3 linked regions of the Cricetulus griseus genome follow. The protein of the gene in region 3 purifies or fractionates together with the protein of the main gene of each other region. This does not show direct contact. Links are inferred from orthologs where the notes say so. Each region holds a gene or a part of one and is shown on either strand. Other genes may lie near its edges. The genes, in order: Sike1, Ppp2cb and Strip2.

Region 1 (4,411 bases), about 140 Mb from region 3:
ATATGCATTATGAATTTTAAGTCTATTAAAAGCCTTGCAGAAATAAACTGGGAGGGGTTCATTTAGTACATACTATAGAAGTTACACTTCAATTACACTATCTTTTGAGCCACAATAATTTAAATCTGTGGTACGTCAAATAATTTCCATTTTTCTAAAGACCATTTGACACCCAGGTGCCAGGTGTGGTGGCACATACCCATAATCCTCGTCCTTGGGAGGCTGAGGAGAAAGGATTAGGAGTTAAGGATTAGTCCAAGCCAGCCTGGACTAAATGGGACCTAGCGTCCCCATCCCCAAGTAACAAAACAGACAATAACTCAAATATTTAGATATTTAAAGACATCCCAGTTCCCTAAAACTTGTAAGTCAGTAAAATCCACCTAATGGAATGGGAGATGAAATGTAAATTGTATCTTTCACTGTAGTAAATAGTAGCTTCCAATTTAAGAACTAAAAATTAAAATACACAATACATGCAAATATATAATAAGTAAGCACTGTAGAAACTAAAAACTAGTTAGTTTTTTCCAAATTAAATAGTAAGCAACTAAAACTAAAATAGAGGAACTGCCACAAAATGAACAAGACTCCCCGGTAACATAATGTGAATAATTTAATGAAATTAGTGACTACTTGCTATGTGGAAGATATGGATAAAACTGAACTAATGCCCTCAACACTACAAAACTCATGGTTTAGTAGAACATACAAGTAATCAGCAAAGTATTCACGGAATGCCTTCAACGCTAGCTGCCATCTTGCTTGCTATCTAGCTTGCTATGTAGTCCAGGTTGGCCTACAACTCTAAACTGTCCTATCTCAGGTTGAAAAATAGATGTTGGTGAGAGAGGTGACACCATCCAAAAGGATGTGAGAAGCCCCCGTCCCCTTCCTTTATTCATATCTTCACAAAGCTTCAGTCAGATAGAGTGACTATGAAAACCATGAAAGAGGAACATGCTTTTCTGCAAACAAAACAACAACTCAGGATTTCAGTTTGGTTTATTTATAATTTATGTATCAGGGTTTCCTTACTGCAGAGTGGGACTGGTGAGCTTTCAGAACTGGTTCGGTATCCACTGCTTTTTTAGCAATCATTAACTGTAACATCTGTTTCCGGTACTTGCTCATGATGAGTTCCAAAGCATCCTGGTGTTCCTCCAAGGAAACCCACAGCTCTAACAAAAAAGCAAACATCTGGGCAATGATGTCTGTAACAGGTCTCAAGGCAAACCTCCTAACAGCTGGGGCTTTCTGATACTCCATGGGATATTGTGAATCCAAACTTGGAAATTGGTATTCCAGCCCACAGAAGTGAGTAAAGTCTATCTGAAAAACAATTTTCTAGGCAGTGGACTTTTGTAGAAGGAAATGGGATATGTAATCATAAGACACAGATTTGAATTCAGTTTTCTCATTTACTTGCTTAATTAAGACTCAGAAGCAAAATGAGCCCATTTAAAAAAAATATTATCACATTTTGTTGATTTGTGTGCAAATACCACAGTGTACATGTGTGGTCAGGAGTCATTTCTCTCCTTCCAATGGAATTCTGGTCCTTAGGCTTGGCTCTTCAGGCTGGTGCCATTACCTGCTAGGCCATCTTGCTGGCTCATGTGAACCTGTTTCTTAATTGCATTGTGTAAACACTTGGGTTGTGGACTTCAAAATGACAACAGGGGATGGAACGGAAGGTGTAAAAAGGTCTCTGCAAGACAACTGCCATACTGTTGTCATTACCAACCCGAAGAATGTATATTCTGGAGACAAAGTTCAGCCTTCCATCTTGCCCAGGAACATTAAAAAAAAAATAGATAAATAAAAAAAAAAAACCTACTTCGATATTAACTTTAGTGTTCACTCTAACATATATCAGAAATTACATTTTGAGACTCTGAATTTTAGTTATATAAGCCTCCATCTGGTATGTGCCCACCCCAACCACCAAACAACTCAACTCTACTAAACAACTCTTTCAAACTCATCTTTCAAAGACTTAAAAAAGAGCAACCTAATAGACTTTATTGTTACCAGATGACCCTCTTAAGCACTGACCTTAAGCACTGACCCTAGTTATGAGATGTGTAAGCTTATGAACTTATTCAGGCACTTGTGTAAGAACGTTCAAAGTATTACTAGACATACACACACACAGCCCGACTAACCTCTGTTTTCCTGCTGCAAGTCTCTAATCTGGGTATTCTCTTGAGACAGCAGAATGTGAGGTTTATATTTAGACATGTCCTTCACGTCGGGTGCATCCTCTTGATACTGGACAGAGAGACTGATTAAGCCGCTGCAAACACAGCAGGTGCTGCAGAGGCGGCAGCAGTCCCACCCATTCCACAGGAAGCTCTCAAGCCCTCCCTGTCCTCCGCACCAGGATAATTAGACGGTGACCCCACCTGCCCTCTCCCCGCAGCGCCCACCGCCCAGGGCGCGGCCCGACCCGGCCCGACCTGCTCGGGCAGCACGGCGCCCGCCTCCCGCATCGCCGCCACCCGCCGGTGCAGCGCGGCCGACTGGTCCACCAACGACTCGGCCGCCGCATCGTGCTCGCGCAGCCGCTCCAGCAGCGTCTTGGCGTCGGTCAGGATCTTCTCGATCGTGCAGCTCATAGTGGCCGAGGACGCCCGCCCGGCCCGCTAGCCTCAGCGATTCGCTCAGCCCTTCCCCAGTTTGAGATCAGCGCGATCGCGTCACTTCCGGGCACACTTTAAAGGCGCCTGGGCAGCCTGGTCGGCGTCTGCGCAGTGGCGGATTCGCGGTAACTCAGGCTTCGCCGCAGATTTTCTTGGGTGGAGCCGCAGAGGTCGACTTGGTCCCAAATTCTGGTTCTTCACGATGTTACAGCTGTTCCTGTCTCAGTTCTCCTTTTCTTCTGGTTTTGATGGATGTGGTTTGTTATTTAGTCATGGGTTTTCAACAAATCGATGAAACAAACACCTCCCCCCCCCCCCACACAAGTGAACACACACTGGAACCTCTCACTTTCTCCCTCCTCTCTTCCTTCCTCTTTGTCCTTCCTCTTCCTTCCCACCCCTTCTTCCCTTCTTACTCCCCTCCCCTCTCTCCTGTCTTCCTCCCTCCCTCCCTTCCCATTCCTTTAAAAGGTGAACAGTGACTGAGGTTGTCCTCTGACCTCCACATACTCAACTGCACCTGTGTATACAAATAGCGTGCGCGCGCGCGCGCGCGCGCGCACACACACACACACACACACACACACACACACACACACACACATTAGTATTTCAGGTCTCAAATCGAAGCTATGTTTTGGGATGCTGTCAATGCTTTAAGATTAGATTATGAGGACTGGGACTGTATGCAAAACTACTGAAGGCTACACTTACCAGTGTGGCAGTGGACTTAGGGATGTGGCACCCAAGAAATATAATGACACACAAGTGAGATGGCAGTTCCCTTATCTAATAGAACACACCCAAGAACTGTGACTCGCTAATGGATAGAAAAGAAAAACAGTATGGATTCCAGATCGCCTTTTACCGGTTTATTGTCTTGGGATGCCATAGAGAGTAGAGGGCAGGGGACTTGTGGGAGTAAGTGGGGAAAACAGCCAGTGATACACTAAATTTTAGTTCAGTATGCAATATAAACAGGCAGGTGGTAGTGGTGCACATGTTTAATCCCAGCATTCGGGATGCAGAGGCAGGCATATTTCTGTGAGTTCGAGGCCAGCCTGGTCTATAGAGCAAGTTCCAGGAACTTGCTGGGATTAAGGGCGTGCACCACCATCGCCCGGCTACAAATTCAATTTTTAATAAATTGGAAAAATGAATTAGGTAAGTTTATTTGCTTCACTTCTCCCTCCCTCCCTCCCTCCCCCTCCCTCCCTCCCTCCCTCCCTCCCTTCCTCCCTCCCTCTCTCTCTCCCTCCCTTCTTCCTTCCTTCCTTCCTTCCTTCCTTTTCTTTCTTCTTTTTGTTTTTTGAGACAGGTTTTCTCTGTGTAGCCCTAACTGTCCTGGCACTAGTTCTGTAGACCAGGCCTGCCTCTGCTTTCCTAGTGCTGTGATTAAAGGCATGTGCCACCACTACCCCGATACTTTTTTCTTTATAAAACCTTTTGGGGCCTGCAAGAAGGCTCAGTGGGTGAAGGTGCTTGCCTGAATTCTATCCCCAGGATGCACTCATAAGTTGACCTCTGTGCCTAAACCCCTATAAATAAATAAATGTTAAGATTAATTAATAAATAATAAGTGAGATTGCTCAGCAGTTAGAGGTTCTTGCACACAGCCCGACAACCTGAGTTTTGACTCCTGGATTCTACAAGTTGGTAGAAGAGAACCATGCCCACTGGTTTTCCTCTGACCTCCACCAGACACTTGAACTAACTCTATCCCTCCTTCTCTCTCTCTTTCTTTAAATAAATAAATAAATAAAGCT
Region 2 (3,184 bases), on a different chromosome or scaffold from region 3:
GAGATTACCATCTTTGTCTGAAAAGTTCAGTGTATACCTTAAGCTAAGATCTCAGTGGTTACTGAGATCTATAGACTCTTGTACCTAATAATTGTCCAGTATTCTGAGCAGGTACAGAAACTGTTGATCACAGGAGATAACATGATTCCGTAGCCACAGAAGTACTTAGGATTTGAGTTCTGTGTCAAGATTGAATTTAATGATGAAACAATGACCTTTTCTTACTGTTGCAGGGATATAATTGGTGCCATGATCGGAATGTGGTTACCATTTTTAGTGCACCCAATTACTGCTACCGCTGTGGGAACCAGGCTGCTATCATGGAATTAGATGACACTTTAAAATATTCTTTGTAAGTAACTGTACATTTTAATTTATGTAATCACTTTAGAGGGAAAAGGTAACTGGTAAAAAACAGTTAGGGGCTGGAAAGATGGCTCAGCAGCTCTGAGCCCTTACTACAGTCATGAGAACTGAAGTTCAGATCCCACAAAGACCTGTAACTCCAGCTCCAAGGGATCCAACACCCTCTTCTGGCCTCTAAAGATACATGTACATGTGTGCACAGAGTCATATACACACGTGCACGCATGAATAAAATTAATCTTCTTGGAATGAAAACCGTGAAAGAGTTCTGTTCATCGTAAAAATTGTTTTCTTTTGATATGCTGGGCATGCAACCATGGCCTCATTCATACATGCCAGTTCATTGCTATGCCACTGAGCTATACAGCCCAGAAAAGGGTTTTAATTATTTACAGTTCATTGAAATTTTCCCAAGAGCTTATAGGTAATGGAAAAACATTTAACCTTAAGAGAACCATAAGCCAGGTGCAGTAGTACACATACTTAATCCCAGCACTCAGGAGGCAGAGGTTGAGACCAGTCTGGTCTAAGCAGTGAGTTCCAGGACAGCCAGGGAGTACATACAGATACCTTGTCTCAGAAAAACAAACTAACAAGACAGAGAAACCTGTCCATTATAACTACTAGAGGCTTGCATCCCTTACTCACACATTATTCTAACAAAAACAACTATAGTGGAGCTGGAGAGATTGTTCAGTGGTTAAGAACACTAGCTGAGTTCAATTCCCAGCAACCACATGGTGGCTCACAGCCATCTGTAATGAGATCTGGTGCCCTCTTCTGGTATGCAGACAGAACACAGTATACATAATAAATAAATCTTTTTGGGGGGAAGAAAAAAAGAGACTACTTAGGGTACAGGAGTGATGCAAGTTAAATTCCCAGCACCTACATGGCTGTTCACAACCATCTGTAATTCCAAGGGTTCCATCTTCTGACATCTATTTAGTTAGTTAGTTAGTTATTTAGTTAGTTATTGGTTTTTCGAGACAGGGTTTCTCTGTGGCTTTGGAGGCTGCCCTGGAATTAGCTCTTGTAGACCAGGCTGGTCTCGAACTCACAGAGATCCGCCTGCCTCTGCCTCCCAAGTGCTGGGATTAAAGGGGTGCGCCACCACCGCCTGGCTCTTCTGACATCTTTGATCACTGGCAATCATAGCACAAAATTTTAGAAGAAGCTTAAAGTAATAAAACATGTACTACTGGGGGATGTGGCTCCACTGGCCCCTGCTTACCTAGCATACCCCACAAAATGAACCCCCCCCCAAAAAAAAAAAAGAAACAGATAACAGACAAAAAAGGCACTTGATAAAATTCAGTGTGCTTTAAATAAAATCAGTAAGCTACACAGAAGGAAACTTGCTGTGCCTGTAGACAAATACTCACCCTGATTTAGCCAGGTGGTGGTGAGAGACAGCACTGACCCAAAGGCCCTTAAATTGATAATAGTGTCACAAGTATTTTCTGCCAGGCACTAACAACCATGTTACCTAACTTTTCACCATAACTCTGTGAAGTAATATAATTTATCACAGGTAGTGACATGCTCAGAGTTATTCCAGCCACATGGAATGTAGTAGCAGAAGAATACAGAAAGGATGGCTTTGTCTAGTGAGTGTCTTAGTGGCTTAGCTGCTGATTCAATTTCTTTGTCATTTATAGTCTTCAGTTTGACCCAGCACCTCGTCGTGGAGAGCCTCATGTGACCCGGCGTACCCCAGACTACTTCCTGTAAATTCTTCCCCAGGACCTTTCTTTGTATGTGGAAGTATACCTGGCTTTTTAATATATATATATATATATATGTGTGTGTTATATATATATATATATTTAAAAACAAGTCATCTGTGTGTTTCTGTAACAAATTGTGATATGTCTTGACATTAAACTACATCATGGACCAAACGTGCCATACTAATGATGAGCGTTTAGCACAATTTGAGACTGAACTTACTACACTGTGTTCTAGATCAGTCTGCCTGCTGTGTTGTAGGAACCATTCTTCTTGGCTGGTTAAGCAAAAAGGGGTCACTGACTGCTTCATCTCCTTTGCACTTGGAAATTTAGTTACAGTGTTTAACTGGCATGGATTAATAGAGTCGGAGTTTTATTTTTAAGATTTCACAACCTGACTTCCACTTAATTCATTACCCTGTATTTTATTGAAATGTGTAACTAACTGAAGAAGAGATTCTTGGGAGTATGTTGTCATAACATTAAAGAGATTTCCTTTCATTTAAACTAAATTACTGTTTGATGTTGATCTGCATTATTTCTGTATATTTGTCATGACAGTGCTTGCATCCTATTTGGTGTACTGAACAAATAAACTTTCCAATTTAAACAAAAATATTTTAGCTGTGATATGCATTAAGTGGAAGCATCACCATTTTAAAACTTGATACAAATACTTAAGACTGTGGTTATTTGTTTTCCATTTACTTTGGATTTTAAGATGGTCATGTATAGTCCCAAATGACCTTAAACTCCTGGGTTCCCCTGGCTCTACCTCCCAAGTGCTAGGATTACAGGTGTAGGACACCTTGCTGAACCACAATTATCTGATGTGTAATAAAAATAAGCAGCTGTACTGACAGGATTTACATGGTAAGCTTAGGGGCTGGGGATTAACTCTGGTAAGGTGCTCATTTATATTCATTTCCAAGTTACATGCACACATGCAAGTGCACACACACACAAGTAATGCTTGTTTATAGTTTACATTTAGAAGCAGAACAAAGTCAAGTATTTGCTGATAACTTTAGGCCATTAAAAAATCCATTTTCACATTCCTAAACATTTCATTGGGTGGTCTGTAT
Region 3 (4,293 bases):
TGGCCAAAAAGTGCATACAATCTAGGAACCTCACTTGTGGCTGGCATCTGAAGCGGGGGCAATATTGTATATGCACTAATCCTGGGTAATTAGTGTCAGAATTGAATTCACATGTAGGACATTTAGTTGGCATCAGTAATTATTGTTGGAAAATGCTCAGTTTTCTCATCCGTAAGATGAAGACAATAATAAGACTTTCTTCAGAGGGTTATCGTAAGGCCTAATGAGTTAAGTATGAAAAGGGCCCTTAGCATATAGCACTCTTGATTTGTGCCAATTGTAATTCTCTTCCAGCAATTTTTTTCAGAAGCCCTAGAAAACTGTCTTCTCTAAGGACTGCCCTCTACTGGAAAGCCAAGGGAGGGAAAAGCAGGTCTGAGCACTGCAAAGATAGGGGACATACAGACAAGCATGTCCTTCTCATTGGAAGGTGGGGTGGGGTGGGGGAGCTAATTTTCCCAGCAAGGCTTTTTGGGGGCAATGAGCCCAGACAGAGACGATTACCACAGCTGTTCATTTCTAAGTGTGACGAATGCAGCTGCAGAAATTCAGCAGGTAAACAGCAGTGCCTGGAAAACTCTGGGTATCCACATTGAACTCGCTGGCAAAAGCGAAGTACTATGACAGCCTTTTCCTGAAGGACGCTGTGACAGCTGAGGATCATTACCTACTTCAGAAGGTTCAACATAGCCCTCTGCAGCCACTTATTTGCATATTGTCTGTCTCCCCACCCTTCCTAGAATGCTAGCTGTAGAAGTGCAAAGACTCTGCCCTATTCACTGACATTAGCACCTAATAATTTCATTGTTATGCCTAGAAAATATTCCATCAAGAACAATGCCTCACTTCCTCTGCTTTGTGCAGCCAAGATGGGAACAGCTCTCCTCCACCATGCCCTCCCCACCTCTGAAACCATGAGCCAAAATAAACCTTTTCTTCCACTGAAGCAAGCAAGCAAACAAACAAACAAAGTCTCTCTTCCGGAAGGAGGTACAAGGTATTCCTAAAAGAAAACTTGTAGCAAGGAAACCTTGACTGTGCAGGTTTGTGACTTTGGGGGCAATTTTCCCCCTTATTTTTTACCTTTTATAAAATAGGAGCTGGGGGAGGGCGAAAGGTCATCGGTAGTAAACTTGCTTGGTTTTGTGAGCCCTTGGGCTCCATCTCTGAACAACAAATAATCAAACAGACAAGTAAATGATTTTGGAAACTATGATGTATTATTCAAACAAACCACCAGGAACTTAATTTGGAGGAACCCCCCCCCAACCCCCCGCCGCCACTTAATGAGAATGATAAGTTATAAGTCCTGACCAATTAATTACATGAACTGGGCTAAACACTTTAAGGTCAATTATTTATAGTGTCAATCCCATTTTACAGGAGAAGAAACTGGAGCTCAGATAGGTTAGGTAATTTGCCCAAAGCCACACAGATGATAAATGGTAGTGCAAAAAAAAAAAAAGGGCCTGATACTGAACTTGGTGGTCTTGGCCACTTACTCTGCCACGTGTCTGATCTCAAGAACGTTGGTTTTTATCTCTTTTTACCCTCTAGATGACACCCCCGCCCCCCATCTGTTTAGGATGCTGGGGATCAAATTTAGCACTTTGAGCATGCAAGGCAAGCACACCGTCACTGAGCTGCATCCCCCAGCCCTGTGTGCTTTGCGTAGTAAAATGAAAGGGTTAGGCTCACTTTGGTGGCACACACTGTCATCCCAGCACTTGGGAAATGGAAGCAGGGCGATCAGAAAAAGAGTTCAAGGCTCTCCTCAGCTACACAGTGAGTTCAAGCCCAGTGGGGCAAATGAAACCCTGTTGTCAGTGGCTTTTGCCCTGAGCTGTCTCAAATAACTAAGATGAAATCAAATAAAATAAGGACTAAACCAGATGACCTCCACAGCCCCTTCCACATACATTTTGTCCCCCGAGTTCCCAGTTCCTGCTCAGATGCAGTTTTGCTCTTGGCTAATAGATGGAAACTGGCTGGATAAGGGTGTGTGTGTGTATGCGTGTGTGTGTGTGTGTGTGTGTGTGTGTGTGTGTGTGTGTGTGTGTGTGTGTGTGTGTGTTGGGGGTGATAATAATTCAGTCCTTTCATTGTCCTAGTTAGATTTTTTATTTTAATTTAGAGGAGGAAAATACCCAAATAGTCAACCCCCTTAGCTGCCCCTGGGGCAGCTGCACCCAAATGCCGCTCGCACGCTCTGGTCCTATCCCAGCTAGAATCACGTCTCTTTTACCTCCTCCCCCAACACCCCCGGCAGGGGCGAGGTGTGGGTGGAAGGCGCTCCCTAAGCCATCTCCATCGCCCCGGGGGCAGCGGATGGCAAGGGAAAGCATGTGCTTCAGGCCGGTCTGGTGCACTCCGGAGCCAGTGGCTGCAGTCTGGAGTGGGAGGTGAGGTGCGCTGCTCGCCTGCCCACCCTCCCCTCCCGCCGCCAAGCTGGGGCTGCCACCCCTGCGGCCAGTCCCAGCAGCTCTGCGCGCTGGTTCCCCATGGGCAAACGGGTCCGAATTCGGGCTTCACCCGGCGACAGCTATCAAGTATCCGGAAAGTATCTGTTACGGTCTCCGCGCGCGCGCGGCTTAGGGAAACGGCAGGCAGCAAGGCGACCCGCCGCGGAGAGGGACGGGGCTGCGGGCCGCGTCACCTCAGCCGCCTCCGGGTTCCTCACCTCCGACTCCCGCCGCTGGCTGCGGAATGCTTCCCGGCCCTTGGGCGCACCCGGCTTCCCTTTGCCGTTGCCGTTGCCGTTGCCGTTGCCGTTGCCGTTAGCGGGCGGGCCGGCGGGCCCGGGCGCCGCGGGGTCGTCCATGCCGGGCTGGCTGCTCCCTTCCGCGGCTCGCTCCAGCGGCTCCCTACCGCGGCTTGGCGATCTCTGCCCGGGGCGACCCCGCCACAGCGCGCGCCCGGAGCCAGGCCCCGCCCCTCGGCCTCTATTGGCCGTGGCTACTCTGCGGCCACGCCCTCCTGTGCTGCGATTGGCTGATCGGCCAGTCGGAGGTGGGGACTCTTTCAAGGAATAGTCCCCGTCGCACCCCCGGCTTTCTCCCCACTGCACCGCGGCTGGCAGCCCGGGCCCGGTGGGCGGGTGGGTGGCTTCTCGCTCCACCTCTCGAGCCCTGCTGGTCCCCGAGCTCCGCGCTGCAGTCTCCTCTCAGGCTGTCCTGTCCCTGCGAGCCCTGGTCTCCGCCCCGGCGGTTCCACTGCGGTCTCCGTGTCCGCGCTACCCCCGACCCGGGCCCCGAATCCCAGCCGCCGCACGCCTCTCCCGTCCCGCTTGGTCCCCGCAGAGAAGGGACAGCCCGAGCCACCACGCCACAACCTTAGCCTCCGTCTCTCTCGGCGGGGAGAACGGGAGAACGGGGAGGGGCGTCGTCGCTGGAATCCCTGACTCCCGGTCGTCTGTCCCCGCTGGGCGGGCACCTTTTGTCGTGGTGCGGAGAGACAGCAAACCCCCTGCCTCACCCGCTGCTCTTTCCTTCTCCTCTCTAAAGCGATCCCCTGGCGGGCGACAGGGCTCGGTGCCGAAAGACACTTGCTTCTCATCTAAGCCCCCTAAGGTCTTGAGTTCGATCCCCGGGTCCCCACGTGGTGGAAAGGAGAAAAGGGACTGTTGAAAACTGTTCTCTGACCTCCACGAGTACTCCGCGGTCTCCTCCAGCATTCCCACACATACAAACAATAAATATTGAAATTAAGAAGGGGGAAAAAAAATACCCAGACAACTACGAGCTCAAGGTAATCAGGCAGTTGAAGGCTGTGGGTTCTGCCCTCTCCTGAAATAGACTGACAGATCCGGCTTGATTACGACTGAGGGGAAGGGGAGGGACCAAATCGCTCTCCTGACCTATTTGGGCGGTGAAGACTTCATTGAGTAGGGGGCTGTGGCAAGCACCGCACTAGGTGTTTTTCAAGTACCACACCTCTTCCTGACAGGTTATTTACACGAATCCGGTTTTTTGTTTTGTTTTGTTTTGTTGGTTTTTCGAGACAGGGTTTCTCTGTATTGCTTTGGAGGCTGTCCTGGTACTTGCTCTGGAGACCAGGCTGGCCTCGAACTCACAGAGATCCACCTGCCTCTGCCTCCCGAGTGCTGGGATTAAAGGAGTGCGCCACCAACGCCCGGTTACGAATCCGGTTTTTACTAATAAAGCGCCATGGGATTCCCTATGCTGCTGCTCTATGGGAGAAACCCGTTTTCTTGACTTACTACAGTCTTGGCGTCTCAACTGCAGTGATAAAACGCCAGGACCAAAAGCAACTTGGGTAGGAGAGGATTTATTC

Evidence for each region.
Region 1: the proteins of Strip2 (region 3) and Sike1 purify together in Homo sapiens (affinity purification with mass spectrometry; 3 studies listed by BioGRID and IntAct, with this or other methods). This does not show direct contact. The link is inferred for Cricetulus griseus from reciprocal best matches to the Homo sapiens genes STRIP2 and SIKE1.
Region 2: the proteins of Strip2 (region 3) and Ppp2cb purify together in Homo sapiens (affinity purification with mass spectrometry; 3 studies listed by BioGRID and IntAct, counting the BioPlex papers as one, with this or other methods). This does not show direct contact. The link is inferred for Cricetulus griseus from reciprocal best matches to the Homo sapiens genes STRIP2 and PPP2CB.

What each region holds. Positions count from the first base shown.
Region 1 is NW_023276806.1:53,975,689-53,980,099, forward strand, and holds the start of Sike1 (suppressor of IKBKE 1), read right to left. Parts: upstream 2,923-4,411; 5' UTR 2,622-2,922; coding exon 2,463-2,621; intron 2,275-2,462; coding exon 2,169-2,274; intron 1,182-2,168; coding exon 1,039-1,181; intron 1-1,038.
Region 2 is NW_023276807.1:51,171,643-51,174,826, reverse strand, and holds the end of Ppp2cb (serine/threonine-protein phosphatase 2A catalytic subunit beta isoform), read left to right. Parts: intron 1-233; coding exon 234-352; intron 353-2,027; coding exon 2,028-2,100; 3' UTR 2,101-2,611; downstream 2,612-3,184.
Region 3 is NW_023276806.1:197,901,906-197,906,198, forward strand, and holds the start of Strip2 (striatin-interacting protein 2), read right to left. Parts: upstream 2,889-4,293; 5' UTR 2,822-2,888; coding exon 2,681-2,821; intron 1-2,680. UniProt on the Homo sapiens protein: Plays a role in the regulation of cell morphology and cytoskeletal organization. Required in the control of cell shape. Calmodulin-binding scaffolding protein which is the center of the striatin-interacting phosphatase and kinase (STRIPAK) complexes.